Linked DNA regions of Mus musculus: regions 1, 2 and 3 are each reported to be linked to region 4. Evidence: microRNA targets listed by miRTarBase, many of them from high-throughput screens and not tested one by one. Region 4 holds a microRNA gene; each other region holds the end of a gene's coding sequence.
What was found. The annotated mature microRNA mmu-miR-320-3p reads AAAAGCUGGGUUGAGAGGGCGA and lies in region 4 at 3,886-3,907, opposite strand. An mRNA with a match to its seed (bases 2 to 7 or 8) in the 3' UTR can be bound and repressed. Matches are read on the target gene's strand: a 7mer-m8 pairs with bases 2 to 8, a 7mer-A1 pairs with bases 2 to 7 and ends in A, and an 8mer does both.

Region 1: miRTarBase lists Hspb6 as a target of mmu-miR-320-3p. Seed matches in the 3' UTR shown: 7mer-m8 at 3,466-3,472.
Region 2: the mRNA of Zzz3 is a reported target of mmu-miR-320-3p. Seed matches in the 3' UTR shown: 8mer at 5,090-5,097, 7mer-m8 at 5,479-5,485 and 7mer-m8 at 5,556-5,562.
Region 3: miRTarBase lists Gns as a target of mmu-miR-320-3p. Seed matches in the 3' UTR shown: 7mer-A1 at 2,941-2,947 and 8mer at 2,920-2,927.

The regions. Positions count from the first base shown.
Region 1 is chr7:30,552,312-30,558,311 of GRCm38, reverse strand. Hspb6 (heat shock protein, alpha-crystallin-related, B6) reads right to left here and starts at 5,011. Exons shown (of 3, transcript NM_001012401.3): 1 at 4,780-5,011; 2 at 3,928-4,050; 3 at 2,869-3,843. The coding sequence starts at 4,977. The coding sequence ends at 3,676. Lin37 (lin-37 homolog (C. elegans)) reads left to right here. Exons shown (of 9, transcript NM_029377.2): 2 at 354-429; 3 at 636-686; 4 at 1,018-1,047; 5 at 1,127-1,212; 6 at 1,288-1,454; 7 at 2,323-2,463; 8 at 2,551-2,624; 9 at 2,704-2,871. The coding sequence ends at 2,785. Gm38670 (predicted gene, 38670) reads right to left here and starts at 5,484; the gene lies at 5,408-5,484. It also overlaps a transcript of Proser3 not described here.
Region 2 is chr3:152,456,494-152,462,493 of GRCm38, forward strand. It overlaps Zzz3 (zinc finger, ZZ domain containing 3), which reads left to right. Exons shown (of 14, transcript NM_001080755.2): 13 at 1,376-1,476; 14 at 1,761-6,000. The coding sequence ends at 1,905. Among named protein-coding and RNA genes, the nearest start is that of 3110067G11Rik, 30 kb to the right of the region's middle.
Region 3 is chr10:121,393,006-121,399,005 of GRCm38, reverse strand. Gns (glucosamine (N-acetyl)-6-sulfatase) reads right to left here. Exons shown (of 14, transcript NM_029364.4): 14 at 1,752-3,958. The coding sequence ends at 3,880. Among named protein-coding and RNA genes, the nearest start is that of Gns, 31 kb to the right of the region's middle.
Region 4 is chr14:70,441,464-70,447,463 of GRCm38, reverse strand. It overlaps Mir320 (microRNA 320), which reads right to left and starts at 3,954; the gene lies at 3,873-3,954. Polr3d (polymerase (RNA) III (DNA directed) polypeptide D) reads left to right here and starts at 3,993. Exons shown (of 9, transcript NM_025945.3): 1 at 3,993-4,131; 2 at 4,344-4,513; 3 at 5,069-5,112. The coding sequence starts at 4,349.

The sequences.
Region 1 (6,000 bases), not on the chromosome of region 4:
AGTGCCCACAGCGAGTCAGGAGCCTGTGGGCCAGCTAGTCACGCCTCATGGGAGAATCCAGGGAGTGGAGTGGGTTTCGAGGAGACCTCAGTGGGAATACCCTAAGGGCTGTCCATGGAAGGTGTCCAGATCCTAGATTCCTGAGTAGGTGTTGGAGAGAAAGAGCAGTGGTAGCAGCTGTGCCCTTGGCCCCGCCTAAGGCTCTGTCACCCTGGTTCTGTCTTTAGTTGGTCTCTCCACTGAGTGGCACTAAAGCTGCTTTCCAAGTAACTGGACCAGACAGGACGTAGGATCGCCTCCCACGGCGAATGTGGGAGGCGCACACAGAGCTGATTCCTACCTTCTACCCTCAGAGATGGAGATGGCCAAAGCCCGGAACCAGCTGGATGCCGTTCTTCAGTGTCTGCTGGAGAAGAGTCACATGGACAGGTTGGAACCTGGTCCAGCCTGGGGAACCACAGGGTGGGAGCTGTTTGGACTGACTCTGATTGTTGGAGGGGGGATGTGGATGGGAGGCTGGAGGGGCTGCCTAGGGTGAAAAGTGCCCCATGGGATGTTTCATGGGAAGACTAATTAATAGCATCACACTCTGGGTCCTTGGTACCCTAAGCCAGTAGTGTTTTTTTTGTTCCCAGGGAACGCCTGGATGAAGAAGCTGGGAAAACCCCCTTGGATACGCACAACAAGTAAGGGACTTTGATGGGATTTAGACCTGAGAGTTTGGGTTAGGTAGCTTTTCTCTCTGCTGAGTCCTAACCATCTTGCATAGACAAAGATACCTGTTGTATAAGTGGCTAACACCTTAGAGGAGGGTATTGGTGGGATACAAGGCCCAAGGAGTACCAATAATCCCCAGGATGTTAATTTTTGTTTGTTTTTAGAGCTAGCGATAGAACCCCAGGGCTTTTGCCCATGCTAGGCAAATGCTCTGTTCCTGAACTACGTCACTTCCACCTTGGGGGGCAGCGTTGAGCAGCTGTTTATTAAAGCCTCCTGACACCATGTCTCTCCCTGCAGGGATTGTTCCATTGCTGCCACAGGCAAAAGGTAAGGTGGCTGGGACCCCAGCTCACTAAAAGGTTCCCAGTCCCCAGCTCCGGGCCTGACACTCACCTTAACCACACAGGCCATCTGCCCGCTTCCCCCACCAGCGGAGGAAGAAGAGGAGGGAGATGGACGATGGGCTCGCTGAGGGGGGTCCTCAGAGATCCAGTGAGTAGGCAGGGGACTGAGAGGGTGGGTGTGGAGCCAGGAACTACACACTTATCGCCTACCTTACCACCCCAGATACGTATGTGATCAAGCTATTTGACCGGAGTGTGGACTTGGCCCAGTTCAGTGAGAACACACCACTGTACCCCATCTGCCGCGCCTGGATGCGCAACAGCCCCACAGTGCGAGAGCGCGAGCGCTCACCCGGCTCACCGCTGCCTCCTCTGCCCGAGGATGGAGAGGTAGGATGAGTTCAATCAGGAGGCCAGATTGAAGAGTGGGTGGATAAGTCAACAACTCCCCCATGAGTGGTAGATAGCTTTAATGCCTGGGCCCCCCTCAATGAATAGAGAATCGGGTAGGACAGATAGCTATTTGCTCTTAGGATTATGGACAGAGGTCCCTAGGCCACATAGATATGGCTTCCTAGGGAACAGGGATCTTAAGTGCAAACAGATGTGGCTACCAGATGGGGCCTTGGTGAGCACATGTGGACCTTACGGGCTGGGCGGAGGGTAACAGGTTTGAAAATCATCTGGCCTGAAAGGGTAGACATGGATTCCTGGGACAGATACATGACTTTGATTCTTGGGGCTCTCAAGATAAAAGTAGACATGACACCTGCCCTAGACAACTGCGTAAAGAGAGCATCTTGACCACCCTCTGCCCCTGGGCTGACAGATAGAGATGGAATTCCCTGGGCTTGGCAGAGGTAGACAAGGGTTCTCCGGCTGACAAGGAGACACGGTCCCTAGAACAGGACGACTATCTTCTAGCTGATAAAGGCATGTCCCTTCTACTGTGACTTCTCCAAGTACAGGTTTCTGGATAGACCCCTCATGTCTGTCTTGCTGGGAAAGGTAGGAGCGATGACACGTACTTTCTTTTTCTTTTTTTCTTTTTTTGGATTTTTCAAGACAGGGTTTCTCTGTATAGCCCTGGCTGTCCTGGAACTCACTTTGTAGACCAGGCTGGCCTCGAACTCAGAAATCCACCTGCCTCTGCCTCTCGAGTGCTGGGATTAAAGGCATGCGCCACCACACCCAGCGACATGTACTTTCAACCCTCTGCTCTGACTCTTGGGTCTCGTCTGGGGCTTTGTCTCCCCAGGGTTCAGAGGTCATCAACAGCAAAAACCGTGATGTGTACAAGCTGCCTCCACCCACAGCTCCTGGACCACTTGGAGATGCCTGTAGATCCAGAATTCCATCCCCACTGCAGCCTGAGACCGAGGGTACCCCCGATGATGAAGTAGGTATCCAAGGCTGGCCTGGAGCTTCAGGGCATGTTGGGAGGGCTAGGACACAGTCACCCAGCTGAGCCTCTCTGTCCATGCAGCCTTCCGAGCCTGAACCTTCTCCTTCCACACTTATCTATCGCAACATGCAACGTTGGAAACGCATACGCCAGAGGTGAGTGTGGCCTGCCTCACTTGCTGCTTGTCCCAGTGTCCTCTGTAGCAGTTGCTAAATCCTCCCTCTGCCTTCCTAGGTGGAAGGAGGCATCTCATCGGAACCAGCTTCGCTACTCAGAAAGTATGAAGATCCTACGGGAGATGTATGACCGGCAGTGACCTTCCCAGGAACCCCACCCCAATAAATGTGCCCCCCAACCCACACTGGCCAGGCCATCGTTCCTGGCCCAGACATAAGGCAGTTGACAAATCTCAAGTGCATTTATTGGGGACTGATGGTAGGAAGGCCTGCGGAGATGGGAAATGTTGGCAGTGAAGGTGTGACCTTAGAGAATGGCAGATGTGAAGGAGGCTCCCTAAGACATCTGGCTGCAGATGGGCAGCCAGGACAGAGGAACTCAAGGGTTCTTGTTCATTGGCCTAGCACATCTGGAGAAGTTGAAGTGTCCATACAGTTTGAGTTTGGGGTTCCTGGTTAGTTGGGAATAGTTTTCCCAAGAATTGGAAGTCAGAATAGTATTCAAGAATTTAGGTGCCTGGAGTTTTAAGTCTGAAAGTGGGCTGGGCAGAGGAGCATTATGTTACAAGAACAGGACTAGTGGGTAGGACTGGTGGACTAGGCTTGGATGTTCTGATGTGGAAAGCCCATGCAGTTTCTCCATGTGGAGAATTAGGTGACTACACTGTACTCTGGTGTCACCTTGGGGTATTCTACACAGGTTACAAGTGCGGTAGGAGGCCTGCGTGGTGATAGAAGCCCAAAGTGGGGTCAATTTGATGGGAGCCTTGACTGAGGGGTGACAGTAGCGTCCCTAGAGAGGTGTCCTGGGTCGGGCCGGAAAGCTGGGAGAGGGCTTAGGGAGGCTGTCTAGGTTACTAGGGCTCAGGTAGGCTTAGGGGTGGAAAGGTCTCCGAAGGACATCTAGGTGTGGTTGGGAAAGGCTGTCTTGACGGCGATTGGGACATCTGGCTGGGCAGTGGAGTCAGATCGGCTTTTAAAAGAGAGCCTAAAGAGGCTTCCTGGGTTCGGTCCTGTGCAGCTGGGACCCCTACTTGGCAGCAGGTGGTGACGGAAGTTGGGCCTGGGCCGACGCTGGTGTGGCCTGGATGGACAGGACACCCTCAGGAGACAGTGCTGAGGTCACAGCAGCAGGGTCCACACCAGGAGGCAGGCGGTATCGGCGGTGGAACTCTCGAGCAATGAATCCGTGTTCATCCTGAGGGTGGGGTACAGGGAGAGATGGGCTTGAGACTCCTACCCTCCTGCCTACCCCGCTCCCCAGTCTGGCATGCAGACCTACCGGGCGCTCCTCGTGCCGAGCATGGACCTCCACATGGTCGTCAACCACCTTGACAGAGATTTCCTCTGGCAAGAAGTGCTTCACATCCAGCAGCACGGAAAAATACCCAGAGTCCGTGGACACCTGCACACATGGCGGGTAGGGGTGGGGCGTCGATCGGATAGGGGTCTTGGCTTCTGGGACCCAGCACTCTCTATGATACATAGGTTACAGTGCTGCTGCCGAGGACTTGTGTAGACTGTCCCCTCTAAGTCACCAGAACCTCAGCCTCATAATAACTGGCCCCCCTCCCCTTCAAATACTGGGTCCACCTCTTTGTGGTAACCAAGTTAGATATCTACCCTATAACCCCCCACCCCATGTCCTTGACTCCACAGTCACCATTTCTGCTACGAGACCCCACCATGCTAGCAACCAAGATGCCACTTCCCCATCGCCAGAGTTCTTACTTAGGTCATGGGACCTCCTGTGCCCTTTACGGGTACTTTCCCCTCGTTTAGAGTGCCCAAGACCCCCTTCATCAAATCACAGGATCCCTCTTGAAGATGCAGCATCACCATATGCAACCCTAGGAACATTACAGCCCGTCGGGACTCACTTGTCCTTTCCCCCAGATTCCCGGCTCACTTGCCCCACCCTTCACCCCCTCAGAAGATCAGTAACGGGGGGGGGGGGGGGGAGGGGCTCAGAATACCGCACTCAAGGGACACCCAATGGCCCCACTGAGGGGTGACATTCTCCTCTAAGTTAAAAATCAACAGACATTCCCGCACCCCCGGCCCGGGGTTAGACCCCCCTCCTGGCCCCCAGTCTTGTTAGTAGTTGGATTGGCCCTCTCCCTAGGCCTGGCACCTGGGCTGTGGGTAACGCCACACTGGGGGCGCGCAGATAGTAGGGGGCGATCGCAGCAGGGCACAGTGAAGCCAGCTCTGCCTCAAGCAGCCCTTCGCCGAAACGCTGGTCAAAGAGGCGTCCCGGAGCAGAGAAACCTGGTAAAGGAGCTGAAGCACGGCGCAGCCAAGAAGGCTGCACAGGCACGGGGATCTCCATCCTGTTCCTACGCTGCCACCCTGGGCCCCGCAGTGCCCAAACGCACGCTGGCTCCGATTTATACTGTGCCCTGTGCCGCCCCTGCGGCGGGCCTCTCAGGGACACTGGGATTGAGGCCAAACTCAGGCATTAGTATTCCTTATTTAGAAACTTCAATAATTACTTGGCCAGTTATTAAACGCCTGCTGGATGCCCGGAAAAGGACACCAGGGAAATGTCATTAAGCCTTTTTCCATTTCTGTAAGGGGAAGCTAAAAGTCTAGGAGGCAGACCCTTATAGGTGTGGCAATCATTGTGGCAGTTGGGACCCTGGGTCCCGATTAGTCCCCCAAAGAGTTCTCAGTCCTCTTAATCCATCTCCGCCAGGCTGGCAGCTCTGAGGATGACGCATCAGTCTTAGTAACAGACTCCTGGAGAATGCTGCACCCATGCCAGGCAGTCAGGAGGACACAGAACAGACCCTACCCCAGAGTAGGTCGGGCCTAATTCTGTGCCTCTGACTCAGCCTGGGGTGCTCAGCGGCCAGGGGGCATGAGCATGAACACTCCAGGTTGGCCCCCGGGGGCTGCGCGCCGGGGCCCGAAATAGCTCGTTTTGATCCCACTACCTGGGCCAGGAGCCCGGGCCTGGCAAGGAGTACGGCCAGCTGCTCAAGAGGAAAGTGGTTAAGGTGACCATCAGGACGGGATAGCAGTCAAAGTAAAGACAGACGTCTCGGGTTAGCCCTGCAATAGTAGCTAGGCTGGAGTCAGGCCTTCGCTCCAACAGGTATCCTGGCGGTTAGAAATAAGGACTGAGTAAAAGGCAGGACTCTTAGCGCTCTTCAAGCGTCAGCCCGGCCTTTGATCCTTACTATTGGTCTGAAGTCTTGCCAATTACTGCTGCACGCTCCAATCAAACACACGCTCTCCCAGTTCGTCAAGAGAGAACGCCCCTCGGCCGCTTTCCAGTTACTTTTATTTTCTAGTCTATCATTGGTCGCTTTGGAGGCCGCGCTCCTACTCTGCACAGCCAGAAAGGGGC
Region 2 (6,000 bases), not on the chromosome of region 4:
ACTGGAGATGATTCTGGTCTTAGTGTGGGGACTGGACTAGAAGGAGGTTAGAAACAGACAGGTGGCATCCTGGAGATTCTTCTCAGGATACCACCAAAGTGTGCCCTGCTTGCACTAGGTGGTACTGGGAAGGCAGAGACTGGCAGGTTTGTGTCATTGTGACTTTATAATGACTGCACTTAATTAGGTTGGAGAAAGTTGCAGCAAGACTGTAATGCGATGTTGCTGTTGGCATGTGATAAAAAATGTTGATGCATGCTGTGACTAATTAATTGCTGGTCATTTGGAGTAACCCTTTCCTCTAGACCCTTCAGTGACCTTCTCCTTAAGGAATTTTCATAACTGGCTTCTAGTTTTTTGAGAGGAAACTGAGTCTCCTTATAACTCGGCTGTAGATCTCAGTGGTGGCTTCTTAGGTAGTGTGTTATCAGAGAAGCTAGGAATGAGATTTACTTTGTGCTTTATAAGGTCACTGTTCTCGCCGGGCGGTGGTGGTGCACGCCTTTAATCCTAGCACTTGGGAGGCAGAGGCAGGCGGATTTCTGAGTTCGAGACCAGCATGGTCTACAGAGTGAGTTCTAGGACAGCCAGAGCTGCACAGAGAAACCCTGTCTCGAAAAAACAAAAAAAAAGAAAAAAGATCACTGTTCTATTGCTGTGAAGAGACATCATATGGAAACTCTTAGAAAACATTAAGGGGGGGGGTTCTTACAATTTTAGAGTGGGAAGCAAGCTGGCATAGTGCCAGAGCAGTAGCGCTGCATTCTGCTCTTCTGGCGGTGGGCAGAAAGAGACTAGGGCACACCTCCTAATCCTTCCAAAATAGTTCCACCAATCAGAGACCAAGCATTCAAATATAAGCCCCTATAAGCTGTTCTCATCCAAATCACAGTCCTTCAGTTTCCAACATTCTACACTGAGACAGTCTTGCAGTGCACTGCCCTATGGAGAACAAGCTGTGCCTGCTTTCTTGTCATTGTAGGCTTTGTTCTTTGGGATCAATCTGATAACTGTCTAGAGAGGACTCTAACACTGAGTGTCTGCTAGTTCATGCCCAGGGCTGTTCTAGCTCTCTGTGAGTCGGGTGTTCACAGTTGCTCACTGGTTTCAAGCAAATGTTTACTAGTGGCAAAATACTCAACTTTGAGGTGATTGGCTTAAAAACTTCTTGGATAAATGCATGGGCATTTCTCATTTACCAGTAGTCTGAGCTTCAGTGGCTGGACCCTTTATCTATTCCACTGGGACTTCTGTCTGACTTAAGCAAGTGTGTTATATCACAGCATGGAGGGAGGGTATGTCTTTATCATATCATGTGCTTCCTGGTAGAAAAGAAACACAGCCAAGTACTCTTCTGAGTTTCTGTCTGTTGCAGTGTGATAACTGTGGTGTGGAACCTATCCAAGGAGTCCGGTGGCACTGCCAGGACTGCCCTCCAGAAATGTCTTTGGATTTCTGTGACTCTTGTTCAGACTGGTAAGTGTTTTATTTCAGAAACAGTAGACTCAAACAGTGAACTTTATTTCCAAACTTGTTTAGTTAGAGTGTAATTGTTTATGCATTAGATTTTATTCTAAGCAGTTAAAATCTTCCTTAAATCACACCAGATCTCAAGCAACTTTCTGTTAAAACTTTCTGAGAGATTAAGTGGGAAGATTTTTTAATGGGTAAATCAAAATGCATCTGGAGTCGTGTAATAATGAAATGGGTCTGGAGTCATGTAATAATGAGATGCATGTCTGTGTGTTTTTTACTTGCAGCCCACATGAAACAGATATTCACAAGGAAGACCACCAGTTAGAACCTGTTTATAAGTCAGAGACGTTCTTAGACAGAGATTACTGTGTGTCCCAGGGCACCAGTTATAGTTATCTGGACCCCAACTACTTCCCAGCCAACAGATGACATGGGAGAGTGTCGTCCGCACTAGTCCTCGTCAACACGCAGCAGTGGCATCATGGTTAATGGTGTGCACGGTTTGGACACTCACAGCATGAGAGCTCCCCGAGTGTTCTCGTCCAGTACAGCTCTGCACTGTGTGGCTGTAGATCAGCAGCTGAACATTCCTGGTGAGCCGAGAGGTTCCCTGGTGAGATTTTCACCACTAACCTAAAGCCTTGTAGGTGGTGGTGTTAAATGGGTGAGGTGGAAACAAGAGCACGTATTAATGCCAGAGTCAATTCCAAAGGTTTAAAAGACCTCGGTCATAAATATGATAATGAAAGACAAAGTATTTATATTAAATCAGTTTAGTAGCTTTCAGTTTTGTGAAGATAGTTTTCAGCGCAGAAACAGACTTATAGATGAAGTTTTAACCAGTGATGGTGTTTGCTTCTAGGATGTGTACTCTAAAAGAACTCACTGTCTGGTGGTCACTGATGGCCTGTAGTAGACTGGAGCTGCTTAACGGTTTGATACCTAACTTCTAATCACGATGACCTGTCCTTACCAAGAGCAAAGCAAGACATAGCTGTGGCTTTGCTTCTGTAACCAGCTCATGGGGTGTGAATGTCATGAAGTTGTCTCGCTGATATATTTTTAATGTCATGTTATATGAGATGATCATGTGATGTGTACAGACTATGTTGAGAAGTGCCAGTGGTAGTAACTGTAAAGTCTGACTCACACCATTAATCCCTCTAAAGTACACAGCCTTCTGCCTCTGTGTGGAGTTGTCAGTACAGCTCGTCAAAGAAAACTGCCTAATATAAAAATCATATATATGGTGATAATTTTCCCTCTTTTGTAGTCTGCACAAGATCCATAAAAGATTGTATTTTTATTACTATTTAACGAGTGATTAAATGTAGTCTGCACAGTGAGCAAGAGTTCACAATTCTTTTTATACTGCTGGATTTTGTTGTGCATCATTTAAAACATTTTGTATGTTTCTTATCTGTGTATACAGTATGTTCTTGAATAATGTTCATTTGTCGGGAGAACTGTGAGAAATAAACGATGTGGATATGTTTGTTTATATCATAGAAAGCTTGTTGTGGATTCCTTTGGGTCAAATTTTGATTTTTTTTCAACAAGTGATAAAAGTAGAATTTATTATTTAAAAGTCTGTTTTTCATCTGTATTTGCTTTCTGTTCTTTATAAAGGGTGAAGATGTATTGTGTTAGTGTTCTCATGTAGCGTGCTGAAACACTGCACAGTAAGGGTGCTGACTAATGTCCAGATGTGGAACCTAAATAGAAGTCAAAATATTATTCTAGTACTTTTTCTTAATAAAATTAAGTACCTATGTGTTGAAACAGGTGGTTTCCAAAAGTTATCAAAAAAAAAAGATAGTATATATCCTATGGTAGATTGAGTATTAATACTAGTCTAGCTTTTAAAATTGTTTTTTTTTTTCCTGTTTTTAAATTCAGGGAACATTATTTACTAATTTTTTTCAATACTCAGCAAGGTATTAAAATCTACCCTGAATTTTTTTAATTAAGAAAAATACAGAATTTTAAATATAGAAAAGAGAAATTTAAATAATATATTGATTATGTATCACTGGTCATATTGATACAGTCTATTGTACTCAGAAAAGTTGACAGGTTTTTATCTCTGAGCTATTAGTGAAGGAGAGGCAGTTGAACGATGTGTCTCTACACTAAATCCTCAGTGCACATGCCGAAGGGCTTCCGTCCATCTGCAATATGCAGGACAGTTGCCCCTGTCTGTATAGAAATAGTACCAGATAGTTGTTCAGATCCATCCAGAAGTCCCATAGAGGTGAAGTACAATGTGGAAGGGTATGAGCGGTACGGTTGTAACGTCATCAGGAGCGAACAAGCCTACTTGAATGCATTTTAAAGCTGAGATAGTAATGTGGATTTTTCCTGTTTGAAGAGAAAATGTCTTTATTTGGATTTTTCAGCTCTAAGCACACTGTCCCCATGGCTTGCTGGGAATGATTCCTGGTGTTGTATTTGAGGGTTGCACAAGTAGGCAGGTTGTTCTTTGCAAGAAGACTCTCACTGTCTCTTCCAAGGCTGCTGACAGTGGGACTTGAGAAGCTGTGTCTTCAGATCTCTTAGTAGCACAGATTTGTGGTATGTGATGCTCAAGCTGTTTGCTATAATTGGAGGAACATTTAATAACGGCGGAAGTGATTGCTCTGAGGTTAGGGAGAGGAGTTTCCTTTAACGTGAGGCACCAATAGTAATTAATTGCTGATTTAGCACCTACTGTGCACAAAGCAAGCATGTGGCAACTCATTGGATTCTCAACCAACGAAGCAGGTTCATTTATTACCCTGTTTTCATGGGAGATCTATCCAGAAAGAAATTAAATGACTCACTCAGGGTCATATTGGTAGAGAGGTGATAAGACTTTAACCAAGATGGATCATTTTGTCACACTTGGTTTCCCAAGCGTTTTCCATGCCTTTGTTCTCATGCAATGCTAGAGTACAAACCTGAGCCATGTCCATGTTTGTAATACAAGAGAGAGGCTCGTATGTGGCTGGAAAGTGCCAGTGTATCCCACCATTGTGACTCCTGCGAGCACACATGGAGAACCTCTCCATGGCCTCTCGGTAACCTGATCCCATGGAAGTCCTTGACTTCCCCCCCTCCCCCCCAGTTCCATTAAATCACAGAGCACAGCTACTGAGATGGTAGGAAGGGATTTTAAAGGGTGACAGAAAATGGCACACCACTGTAATAGGTAATTTCCCTTAAACAGCTCTGTGAGATATGCTGTATAAGCTTTCTTACTCTGGATAGCCAGGGTTAAAACCCACTAGTCTTTGTGCACTGGAGGAAACCGGTAGTTTCCAGTGCATTGTCCTCTTTACCTCTAGAGTCAAAGAGGAAAGGTTACTGCCCAGCTTCAAGGGTTTATGTGTCTGTTAAATGGATTGATTTCTGAGAATTGTGTCGTGTTTTGCCTCATGAGAACAGTTCACGTCTGTGTCTCTATTCTCTGACTTTTTTTAACGAATTCTCTATATTTGTTGGTTATGTGACCCAGTATTCTGGTAAGTTACACTCTTTCTTGTTTAGAGAGGACTGGGGTCCAGTAGGTCACTAGGTGCTAGTGACTCTACAGGTGGTCCTGTGACATGCCCTGGAGGACAGCCTTTGCACCCAGCTTTACATGTAGGGTGTGATTAGCCAATCAGATCATGTATTGTGGGTATGACTCTGTCATGCTTGCTGTGACATTTTGGGTCTTATTTCCAGTTGGGGAAGTTAAGTCCCCTTGATTGAGTTCCAGGAACTAGTTACTGACCTGAAGCCTTCCCAATCGTATCTGTGACGAAAGCGAAGGCACTGAGAATGAAAACAGAAGTGACAGATGTGAGGACTCCAGTAAGACGAAAGCCAGGCTTTGTGGAGCTTGGAAACAACCGTGTGCAAATAAACCATGTGAAAGAAAATGCTATTTGAAGAAAAGTAGTGCCGTGGAGCTCTGTTGCTTTAGATTGAATGGCTAAGCAACCGTCACTGGCAGTTGTGGGAGGTAGCAGTGTGGGTCAGCTTTCGAGAGGACTCAAGAGCTCTGACGCCATTGGTAAGGACCTGGAGCCAGGGACCACCTAGGTTTCCCTGGGCAGCTTTGAAGACAGGCAGTGTGTGTGTGTGTGTGTGTGTGTGTGTGTGTGTGTGTGTCATGCATCAACTAGGGGGCGGGACGAGGCAGCACAGCCTTGAATGCAGGAGTTTACACTTGTGTTCTGAGGTTGTCTGCACACATAACCTTTTGCTAGGCAGAAACCGCTACAGTCCATTCATATTTTAAAGTGTAACTTTATGATGTCACTTGGAGCCATTCATGTGGGCGTTGTGTGTCTTAGCTGTTCTGTAGAAAACTGACTTGCATTCCCGGGTACTGATTCCTGCTGAAGTTTTCCAGGCTGCTTGCCTGCATGTCTGCTGCCTCGTCCAGAGCTGTGGGTGCAGAGCTGCCAGTGTGTGCTGTGTGTTGGGTTGTCATCCTCTAGTACCACTTTCCATTCTTGCTCTAATGTCCGTGCTCCCTGTCGGTTACCTTTGGGG
Region 3 (6,000 bases), not on the chromosome of region 4:
ACGCGCTCGAGGCACACACACACACCTGCACACACACATATACCCCTAGGTGATTAGAACATATAAAAGCATTGTGCTCATCTTCATGACCTACTATACACACCCTTCACCTCAAACGCCGGGTTACAAAACAGCTCTTCTGACCACATCACAGCAGTTGTGGATGGCTGCTCTGGCTTCTAGACTCCATTGGGTAGGGCAAGGAATGCATCCGACCAACCAGGCGACCAGCTGCTTAGCCAGCTGAGAGGTGTTGGGTAAGCACCAACTCTGGCCTCCCCAATCACAAGGCCCCGACTAGTTTATGAGAGTCATTTCTTAGGACTGTTGGCAGATGAGCAATTTCTATGGATGAGGAGGTCAGTCTTCCTCTGGAGCGAAGAGCAGGCTTGCTACAATACAGGTTGCTCCTACCGAGTGCTCCTCACTTGTAACAAACCCACCATATGTGGTCCCCTCGGGGTGGGAACAGGGGTTGGGGGAGGGACAGCGGGATGAGGGGGGACTGACAGGGGTTGTGCTACTTTCTAGCCAAAGCTCGGATCCAGAAGTGATCTCAGCCTTGTGGTAAACACACATTAATTCTTAAAGATTCTTATTTCTAACTAAGTGTCTATTTGTGTGACTTGGTTTGTGGGCACTGTACCTGTGGAGACCAGAAGACGAGGTTGGCTCTCCCGAGGCTGGAGTTACAGGTGGTTGTGAGCCATCTGGTGTAGGTGCTGGGAACCCAACCTGGAGTCCTCTCTCCAAGAGCAGTATGGGCTCTTAACCTCTGAACCATCTCTCCAGCCCCCAAATCAGCTTTTCCAGACAGTAATGTTAATTTTTCAATGCCTAACATCTCCTTGGTCTATGAAGCAACCATTGATGTCGGTGGCCGGCAATTTGTGGCCAATTTGTTTTCCTACATTGGAACAGAGCCGCACAGTTACGCACCAGGATTTGGACTCTCTCTGGAGCTGAAGAACCCTCACCACACTAAGTTTACGTGATGAAGGGGGTGGAACCCAGGGCCTTTTGCATATAACACAAGCACTTCTGAGCTGTAGCCCCAGCTCCTGGGCTATTTTTATGTTCTACCAGCAATGTAGCTGTGACAGAGACTATGTACGTAACCTGTATGCCTAGGATTGGATATTTAACCCTTTAACAAAGTTTGATGACTCCTGCAAAATGTAATTTTCCTTCTAGGGAAAGGGGCGACCACAGTAATACTGGCAAGGGTGAGTTAGTCTGTCTTCTTACAAGTCGCTCAAAGAAGCTGTAAGTCACTTATCAGCGGGTTTCTTTTTTAAAAAGTTTATGAATATTTATGTGTGTGTGCAGGAGGCTGTGGGGGTCAGAAGAGGCACCTGATCTTCTGAGCTGGAGTTACAGATGGCTGCTAGCTACCATGTAGGGGCTGGGAGCTGCATTGGGAGCGGGGGGGGGGGGGGGGGTGTCCTTTGCAAGAACAGGTGTTCTTAGTTACTGAGCCATCTTCCCAGGTCTCAGATGACTTGCAGGGACTGGTATCTAAGAGCTTTCTAGGCGGAGGGCGCACACGAGGAGGAGACGGTCCATTTTCACTAGGTTATTGGCTAACCTTGCAGCCGGAAGGTCTATCTCCGGGGGACAGTGCTGACCTGATCCTTTTATGTCAGCCCTGAATTTGGACCCTAGCACCACAAAACTACAGAACTCCACGAAGCAGCCACCTTCTTATACATTGTGAGAATCAACACCTGTGGACTAAAAACAAAGGACACATTGCCACTAGAACAGAAGTCAGTTTTAATTCATTGAGAAGTGCAGCAGTGAACAGGGTCCGTTGAAGGGCACTTTCTAAGGGAGCGGCTGAGATGACAGCTCCAGGCAGAGGAACTTCTACAACAGCTGATGAGAATTTACAAAGTCCATTGAGCGCAAAGTGCTGGTGAGCTAAAGAACCCAGGACACCCATCAGTCCCGCGGCCATCAGCTGATACCCCTTGCTTTGTCTTGAGGATTCTGGGCTGCCATCTTCCATTAGAAAACATAAGATAAAGATACCCCTACGTTTGAGAATACTTCCCACAGATGAAGGTGTAACTTCCATAGCCACTCTATTTTTACATAAAAACCCGGGCGCTGGCAATTCAGAAGGTGTTTGCAACAGTACCAACTTGTTGAACTCAAAGACACTCTAATGTGTACCCTACTTTGAAATTGTATCTGAGGGGCAGTTTTAAAACTGGAAATCTTATAAGGCGAAGTCCCTGCATTCCATGTTGGTTTTAATGGTTCTCCCTTTGAAGAGCACTGGTACACATATACCTGGCCTTCAAAGGAGATGTCAAAATGCTGAGTACAGAGAACAGGGCCGGCCTCCTGCAGTGCATCTCTTGTGGGTAGAGGCCATGCACGCTGCAGTCTGTTATAGAAGGTCTACTTGAATGTTTGCAGGAACGTTCCTTAACCAGGAGGTTCAGAGAGGATCTTGTGTCCCACAATCCTAATGTGTTACCTCCATCTGAGGGCCTCGAGGTAGGACACCTACTGCAGCCTACTGACTGTTACCACTCTGATGTCGCCTGCTTTCAGGAGCCGGCTATAAAACTGAAGACTCTAACATCTCAATCCCAGACCTGGTAGGAGCTGCCGACCTTTATTTGGGAACAACTGTGGTCAGCTTTCACTATTTCACTGGTCATGTTTAGAATCCAAGTGGGGGTGAATGAAGCCGGTATCCACATTCAATTCTGTAACTTTTAGTTTAAAACTTAAACTTTTCCCCCTCTAAAGTGGCCACGGCCGAGGTGTCCACTCTACTGCCTGCTGGCCTCTCAGTATCACCAAAGTTGCTGGGGTCACATGAGGTAAAGGAATAAACTCAATGGCTGTCCCCCCAACATGGCCTCTGGAATTCTCAAAGTGACTCATAGCTGTCTTACAAGTTAAAGCTGGGCAGAGGCTGTGTAAAGCTAAACCCGCTCACTGCCGACGACAGGCTGGAACCGAGTTTCGCCACTCCGTGCTGCCTCTGTGGACGTCAGGGTGGAACTGGACTTTAAGGAACAGAGTGCCGTCCAGGGCATCTGGGAAGCCGGCCAGGGGAATACTGACTGGAGCCCTAGTTAGTCAGGACTGGAAACTCGCACTTTTGTGAGATCAGGGAGTGGGGTGAGGCAGCCGGTCCTTCCCCTCCACCAGGAGACACTAAGATTTTCAATGACAATGACAGCTAACTGCAGCCAGGCAGGATGACTTGTGTGGCGCTGACACTTGAGAACCCTCCAGACAGGCACTTGTAAGTGCGGCCCTTCAGCGCACTGATCCAAGAGCTCAGGAAGCGCATCTGGCCCCCCCTGGTGCTCCTGGGCGCTCTCAGGTGGCTGGAGTCACTAAGAAGCTTCTTAGGGCAGAGCTTGGGCGACACGTCGCACATTAACCACACCACAGGGATGTCATGAATGTCCTTTCTCTACGTGTCCACAGACAGCAGCTCTTCTCGCAACTGTGTGAGTTTTGGTGAGGGGCTCGGTGTGAAATGCTATACAGTGCTTTTGATTTGGGGGCTAGCTAAAATACCAAAAGGTTTTATCTCTGCCCTAAAGTATTGCCATTATCAGAAGAGTTTTACAGATCCAGACTCGACCACGTGGGGACTCATATACTGTGCCCAGCCAAGATGAAGGGACAAGGAGAGGACAAAGACCTCAGGAGTGGTGGTTGTCATCTGAGGAGAAACAGGGTCAGCCACTTCTGACAGGGGCGGATTCACAGTACTGGAAGTCAGCTGACTGGATTATTTTTCAAACAAGACTTGAAAGAGCAAGGCCAGAGCTCCCGAGGCGTGGGCTCCCACTCCAACCACGGCACCGGAAAAGGCTGTGCAAGGATCCAACGCAGAGGCTGCTAGAGCGGATGCTTCGAGAACCTTCTCGTTCTGACGCTGCCGTGACTGTTGAACATGAGACGCAGGTCAAACCTGTACCTGAGGGAAGCAAAGGGAGGACGTCACGTGAATGCTCGCTAGCCATGTGACTTCAAAGGCATATCCTGCAGCAGAGAGCTGCCGGGAGGGACTGACACACCAAGCAGGGAGCTGTCACATAAATGTGGTTTCAGTAGCCGAGAGCATTTTCCATGCAAGCTGTGACCTGAGGAGAGCAACACGGTTAACTGCAAGAAGCAGGAGGGAGATTCCTTCAGAAAACAGCAGCAACAAAACATTACTACACAGCCTTGGCTGGCCTGGAAACTGCTACGCACCAGGCTGGCCTCAGACTCCCCAACCTGCTGCCTCAGGCTTCTGAGTGCTGGGAATAAAGGCAGGCAGGCAGGCTACGGGAGGTGAGCGAGTCTCAGGTATAAAGCATCCAGATGGAAGAGCTGACCCTCACTTAACCTCCACTCAAGCTCTGAGATCGCTTCTTCTTTTCTAGCCGCTGGCACTTTGGCGCACACACAAACACGGGTCTTAGATGTGTGCTTGAGCCAGGCTCATGAATTTAAACAACTCCAAGTTGTCTCTGGCCATCAAACAGAGAGGCATTCATGTAGAATGTATGGAACCCTCTCTGTAAGTGCTCCATGGGAACAGCTGAGAGTTTGTGGCTATAAAGAATCCAGACTGGCCAGAAATGGGCTTTCCATGAGCCGAGCAGAAACCTGGCAATGAATTTACACTCCTTCTGCCTGTGGGCCGATCTCTGCAGCAACACTTTTGTAAAGGGTCAGATGCTATGGTCAGGACTGTGGACCATCCAGCCACAGACACTGTACAACACACATGTGTGGCTGCGTTAAGAGCTTGTGCCTATAGGATCCAGTCCGATGACCCTACTGCAGAGGATCCTGGAAGGCCAAATGTTTGGCAGAAAAGAATATCCTGGGATGATAAATTAGAAACAAACTCAGTTGGTGTTTACGTACTTGGGCTAGCGATAGCACACATAACCAGCATCTCATCAGGGTTGACATAAACAAAACGCTGGAGAAACATGATGCGGGCAGCCAGTGAACCCCGGGCAAACTGTGTGTCTGATGATGACGACATGCATGCGCTGGGCTCTAGGGAGCCGACGACCGCTCCAGATGTCCAGGACAAGCAGGACAGCACCTGAAACCACCCTGCTCTGGCTGGCCAGTGCTCCAGCAGCTAAGCCAGCAGGGACTGCTGGCCATATGTCACAATCCCAGGGATTTCTCCACTCGCCTTTCAAGGGCTTAGTTACAGCTTTCAATTCCCGGAACCAGCCTAGAACTCACGGCTAGAAGCATTAAGTCCGTTTGGTTTGATACACACTGTGAGCTGACGTCTGCGCAGACACTGGGGAAGGTGAAGGCTGGATAAAGGACGTGACGGACCAGGCTTACGACATTCACTCCACTCAAACATTACTTGGTTTAAGCTAGACAGATCGACATGTATTGTCTTTTTACACAGTGGCCTAGCTATTTAAACGTTTTCCATTTTAGCAAGGCATGGTGGCTAACACCTTTAATCACAGCAACACTAGGGAGGAAGAGGTAGCCTGGTCTACATGACAAATTCCAGGACAGAGAGACCTGTCTCAAACCAATTTCTAGCTGGGGCCTGATCCGTGGGGTTGCCTTGGGGATGGAGGTGAGAGTTGCATGACCAGCATGACAGCCCTTTCTGACAGTGTGGACTCTGTGTTCCTGGCTGTGTGTGGACTACAGTGTGACAGTCCATGAGCCATTTCTCTACTCGTTCACAGCCTGAACTCCTGGGCAGTGGCAGGCAGTGTTCTGCAGCCCCAGCCCTGTAAGCAGATCCAGAGTGAGGCAGGCTGGGTAACACAGGTAAGCCACGTCAGTTACATTTGACACCCGTTTTCCTAAGTGTTTAATACTCTGAGAAATAAAGCAGTATGCTCTCAGACCGGGGCTAGGGTGGGCCAGAGCTATCCAGTGCCACCAAGCAGAACTCTGGGACAGGAAAGCAGGGCTGAGCTTGTAGTCACAGCAGCCACCAAAGGTACAGAGCCAAGTCCCAAACAGTTTATTTTC
Region 4 (6,000 bases):
TCTTATAGAGCCCAGGACCTCCATCCTAGGGATGGCACCACCCACAACAGGCTGTTTCCCACCCCCATCACTAATTAAGGAAATGCCCCAGAGGCTGGCCTACAGCCTGATCTTATAGAGGCATTCTTCTCATCTGAGGTGCCCTCTTCTTCAATGCCTCTATCTTGTGTCACGTTGACATTAAAACTAGCCAGGATGGGCTTGAGAGATGGCTCAGCAGTTAAGAGCACCCACTGGTCTTCCAGAGGTCCTGAGTTCAATTCCCAGCAACCACACGGTGGCTCACAACCATCTGTAAAGGGAGCCAATGCCCTCTTCTGGTGTGTCTGAAGATAGCTACATTGTACTCCTATACATAAAATAAATAAATCTTAAACAAACAAACAAAAAACCAACAACAAACAACTAGCCAGGACTCTGGCCCACTATTCCTTTTCCCAGCCAGCTGCCATTCTTCTATTTGTGTGTGTGTGGTTCAACGAGCTTCACTGGGGCTGTGCAAAGGAACATGAACATCTTACCAATGGCTACACCACTGAAAGAACATGTCTTACCTTTCCTCCCTTCAACTTTTAACCACATGGAAATTCCTCAGAGAGGAGTGGGGATCTATCAGGCCCTTCCTCTATTTCTATTCCCCCCCCCCCGACCCCATCCCTGTTTGCTCCAGCCCTGCTCCAGGTATATTTATTTCATATATGTGGGTACACTGTCACTGTCTTCAGACACAGCAGAAGATGGCTTCAGGTGCCCATTACAGATGGCTATGAGCCACCATGTGGTTGTTGGGAATTGAACTCAGGACCTCTGGAAGAGCAGTCAATGGTCTTAACTGCTGAGCCATCTCTCCAGCCCCCTCTATTTTTATTCTTACATTTTTAGTAGTCATACATCTTAGCACAGTATTTTTTATTTATTTATTGTTTTTCTGAGACAGGGTTTCTTTGTGTAGCCCTGGCTGTCCTGAACTCTTTCTGTAGACCAGGCTGGGAGATTCACCTGCCTCTGCCTCCCAAGTGGTGGCATTAAAGGAGTGCACCACTACCACCCTGAGGGCTGGGATAAAAGGCATGTGTCACCACGGACTGACTAACTCAGTACTTTTTTTTTTTTTTTTAGACAGGGTTTCTCTGTATAGCCCTGGCTGTCCTGAAACTCACTTTGTAGACCAGGCTGGCCTCAAACTCAGTAATCCGCCTGCTTCTGCCTCCCAAGTGCTGGGATTAAAGGTGTGCACCACCACACCTGGCTTAACTCAGTACTTTTTAAAAGGGGGATTTATTTGTTCTGAATTCTACATGCACAAATGGTTTTTGCCTGCATGTGTGCCTGTGCATTGTGAGCTTGCCTGGTGCCCTTGGGGGCTGAAAGAGGGCACCAAATCCCCTGACACTGGAATTATAGACAGCTGAGAGCCACAACATGCGAGCTGGGAATAAGGGCAGCAAGTCTCTTACCCACTTGGGCATCTTCAGTCCTCTAGCATAAGCACTTCTTGAAAACAATTTAGTAGCGTTGATAATGAACCACAAAATACTCTTCGAAAATAGTCTAGCCACTGCGGAAGCCGGTTTGTTGTTCTTGTTTCCAAGATTAATCATACAGTCATACCTACCAACAGGTGCACTCATTCCAGAGACGTGGACATTTGTATTGACACAAAGAGCTGCACATTTATCCACAGCAACTTTATTCACAATAGACACAAACTAAGCAACCCAGATGTCTTTCAAAGGATGACTAAATAAATCATAGAAATGCAGTAGGAAAAGGAATAAACTAATGATATGTACCACTTGGATAATAGCCACAAAATTATAGGGATAAAAGAGTAGCCACAAGGGCTGGAGAGATAAGAGCACTGACTGCTCTTCCAAAGGTCCTGGGTTCAAATCCCATCAACCACATGGTGACTTACAACCATCTGTAATGGGATCTGATGCCCTCTTCTGGTGTGTCTGAAGAAAGCTATAGTGTATTCGTCATATACATGAAATAAATAAAATCTAAAATAAATAAACAAATAAAAAGTAGCCACAGAAGCTGGGCACGAGGGCACATTCCCTCAATCCTAGCACTGCCAAGGCAGATACTTTCCTGAGTGTTTGAAGTCAAGTCTTGTCTCTACAGTGAGTTTCAGGTCAACTAGAGGTTTATAACAAGATGACTCCGTCTCTTCAAAAACAATCCAAGTCATATACCGTATGACTCCATCTTTAGAATACTTTTGAAATAACAACATTTTAGAAATGGAGAACAGATTAGTGTGGGGAGGAGTGGGAGGAAGAGAAGGCTCAGCAGTAAGGGAGGCTGGCTGTATCTGAAAGGGCGGCTTCAGGGATTCCTGTCATGCTGAAATGTCTTGTACCATGACTGCAAAAATGTCAATATTCTGGTTTTGATATAAGTGCTAGATCTTACTATTGTGGAAAACAAAGTAAACAGAATTTGGGCTCTGCTGAATCATTATCATCATCATCACCATCAGTGTCTCACTTTGTAGTCCAAGCTGGTGTAAACTCAGAGACCTGCCTGCTTTTTCCTCCCAAGTACTGGGTTTACAGGCATGCACCAACATGCCTGGCTTGTCACATAATTTCCCCCCCCCCCTTTTTTTTTTTTAAATAACTGCATATGTATGACATCAAAATGAAGTTTACTTATTTACTATTTTCATTTTATTTATTTATTTTGGTTTTTCGAGACAGGGTTTCTCTGTGTAGCCCTGGCTGTCCTGGAACTCATTCTGTAGACCAGGCTGGCCTCAAACTCAGAAATCCACCTGCCTCTGCCTCCCAAGTGCTGGGATTAAAGGCGTGTGCCACCACTGCCCAGCAAAGTATACTTTTAATATGTACATTTTCTGAAACTCTTTCCTAGGGATATAATCTACAAGAAAGCAAAAAAGTTGGATGTATCAAATGTACACTAGCTATTTCTAACAACATACCTATTTAAAGTAAGTGCCCCATTAAGGAAACAAGTTACGATATATACATATAAATATGCACATATATATCCTCCCATTGGTCATTTGTCTCCGACAAAGAATACACTATTGTGTGGCACAATATTACAGTACATCAAAAATATTTTAATGCTAGCAGCCTATGGAATTCCAGCAGAAATAGGTTCCTTCCCTAGAATTACATAACCTTTTTATTTGTATTGGGGTCGCTGTAGTGTAACATTAAATGACTCCCCCCCCCCCAGATTAGATTGCAACCACACATTACAATAAAAAAATTTTTCAGCTGGGATTGGTGGTGTACATCTGTAATCCCTACAACTGAGGGATGAGTGAAGAGACTGGACTGCTGCAAATTCGAGGCCAGCCTGGTCTACTTAAGTTCCAGACTAGATAGGGTTACAGAGCAGGGTTGTCTTAAAAATACCCACACCTCCCAACCAAAAATCAAAAAACAAAAACCCTTCCAGTTGAAGAGCAAACTTCAGTTCCAAAGGCTTCCCAGATTTGACTAAGCAGTCATGGGCCCAGGTAGATGAGAAGAGCTATTGGCTGCTCTGTCCAAACTGCGTTAAGGGTGACACCCCAAGACCCCAGGGACCGGCAAGGGAAGGCGCACGCGAGCAAAGGGTCGAGCCCGAAGGTGCAATGACCACGCCAAGGTCAACGCAGGGAGGCTGCAGCCAGCCACGGCCTGAGGGCTCTAAGCTCCCTATGTCCGGAGCCCCATCCCGAGCGGCGACCCCACTGCTCCCAGAGGCTGCGCAGTGTGGACTCCACATACAGCAGGTAGGCGACCTTGGAGCCCCTCCACCTCCGACCCCGAGGACCGCACCTCTACTCCCTGCCAGGGGCCGAGACACGCCCCCACGAGTCACACCCCGGCACAGCTTACAGTCCACCTCCCACATCCTTTTTCGCCCTCTCAACCCAGCTTTTCCCGACTCCGGGAAGAACCGGGAAGAGAAGGCGGAGGGCGGCGAGGCACCGTCGGATAAATACTATGGTCAGGTCACGCCCCCTTGATGTCACTTCCGCCCCAGGGTAAGATGGCAGCGCCCGGTCCTTGCCACGCAGACTTCCGCCTTGCCCGGAGACCCGCGGCCCGTGGTTGCTCTAGTCGGAGGTGAGGTTGTGATACTCGGCGCAGAGCCTCCACGCAGGTGCGTCACGAAGTCCCCAGGGAAAGGGCAGGTGACGGAGTCCAAAGCTAGGGGTGGGGCGCTCCGGGAAGCCTCGCCACGTGGGACGGGGAGGAGCTGAGCTGCAGCGAGAGCGACGCACGGGCGGGGGGCGGGAGGCCACGTGGGTGCGGTTCCGCCCAGGGTCCTCGCGTCCAGCCCTTGGAGTCACTTTGTTGCCTACTTTCTTCTAGGAACCATGTCGGAAGGAAACGCGGCGGGCGAGCCCAGCAATCCTGGAGGGCCGCGACCCCTTCTCTCTGGGGGCCGGGGGCTGATCGGCCGGCGGCCCGCACCCCCGCTTACGCCCGGTCGCCTTCCCTCCATCCGCTCCCGGGACCTCACCCTTGGCGGAGTCAAGAAGGTACCTGCGAGCGCGTTTGTATAGAAACCCACCCAGGCCGTAGGGAGGCGACTCGTGATGTTCATTCATGTGCTGCCTTGGGCCCCTGGTGGGATGTCAGCCTTTAGAGAGACCTGCAAACCTAGGTGCTGGTACAGGACACTGACAGGGTCTCCTAGGCAATTAAAAGACAGTGAATCTAGTTGATTCAAGACATCCGGAAGTGCTTATTATGTTCTGGGCTCCTTACAAAATCCCTTGAAAGCCAGACAAAATTGCTTTACTTGCAATTTCGAGTGTTCATAACTCTGTGGATGTCAGTATTGAAAACTAATAATCTAGTAAGTGATGAATCTTAGGCATGCCGGTAACTGCTCTTTGTCCCCTCCTGTTATGTGTGTAACAGTAGATGTAACTGTACCGAGTAGCTCTGAAAAGGAATAGCAAACACAGGATAAAGCATTTTAGCTTTGCCTTGGGGGCTACTGGTGATAGTCTACCTGTCTCTCTAAGCCATCCCAGGACTGTTGGTCAGTTGAGCACATCGAAAATACAGTACTGTGTTTTACTTTTCAGAAAACCTTCACCCCAAATATCATCAGTCGGAAGATCAAAGAAGAGTAAGTAATGAATGAACAGTACTCACCCCGGTTAGCTCTGAATTTGGGGACGTAATTAGGTTGTGTGGCCTAGAGATTTTAACTTACGCTATTAGCTTATTCACCAGTGGTTCTCATCCTTCAATCCTGGGTTATATAGGGGCATGTTTCTTTTTGAGACAGTGCCTCGCTACATGGCCTTGCATGTCCTGGAACTCACTTATGTAGGTTGCTGGCCTAGAACTCCCAGAGATGTGCTTGCCTCTCAGACCTGTGTCCTGAGTGCTGGGATTAAGATGTACACCTCCACGCTTAGCTCCAGGGCACTTTGCATTAGAGGGTCTTTTTGGTTTTTGTTTTGTTTTGTTTTTTTTCTGTAATAAATAGCTGAGATAATTGGCTTACAGAGAGGGACATTTTGTTTTGGAGATTTTAGTCCACGATCAATCAGGTGGTTCTTGCTTTTGGGTTCATGGTATGGCAATGAATGCAGTCGGAATACCCAAGGGAAGAAAGAAATTAAGGAGAGGAAAGGGCTGAGTTTCTATTCTCCTTTAGGAGCTGGGTAACCACCCAGTAGGCTCCATCTCTTATAGTTTCAGCTACCTTCTGTTTCTGCCGAGGTGGGGCTGAACTCTCCAACTTTGCCTTAAGGTCCTCTGCTCTCCAGCCTTTCTACTTTTAGAGGGTTAAAAAACCAACAAACAAAACAAAAGGCCCACATTTTGACAAGACGGTAAAGTAGAAGGAAATTAAAGGCCGTGCTTTATGGGAGATGTCAAAGGTATAGCGAAGGGTTGGGTGCCGATTCTCGTAGTGTACTTACTGGCTCACAAGCTCTGCTCAGCGGGCTGAAAGGGGCAAGCGAGGAGGCTCCATTTCCTGAGGCAGACCCTTTTGTCTGTCCTC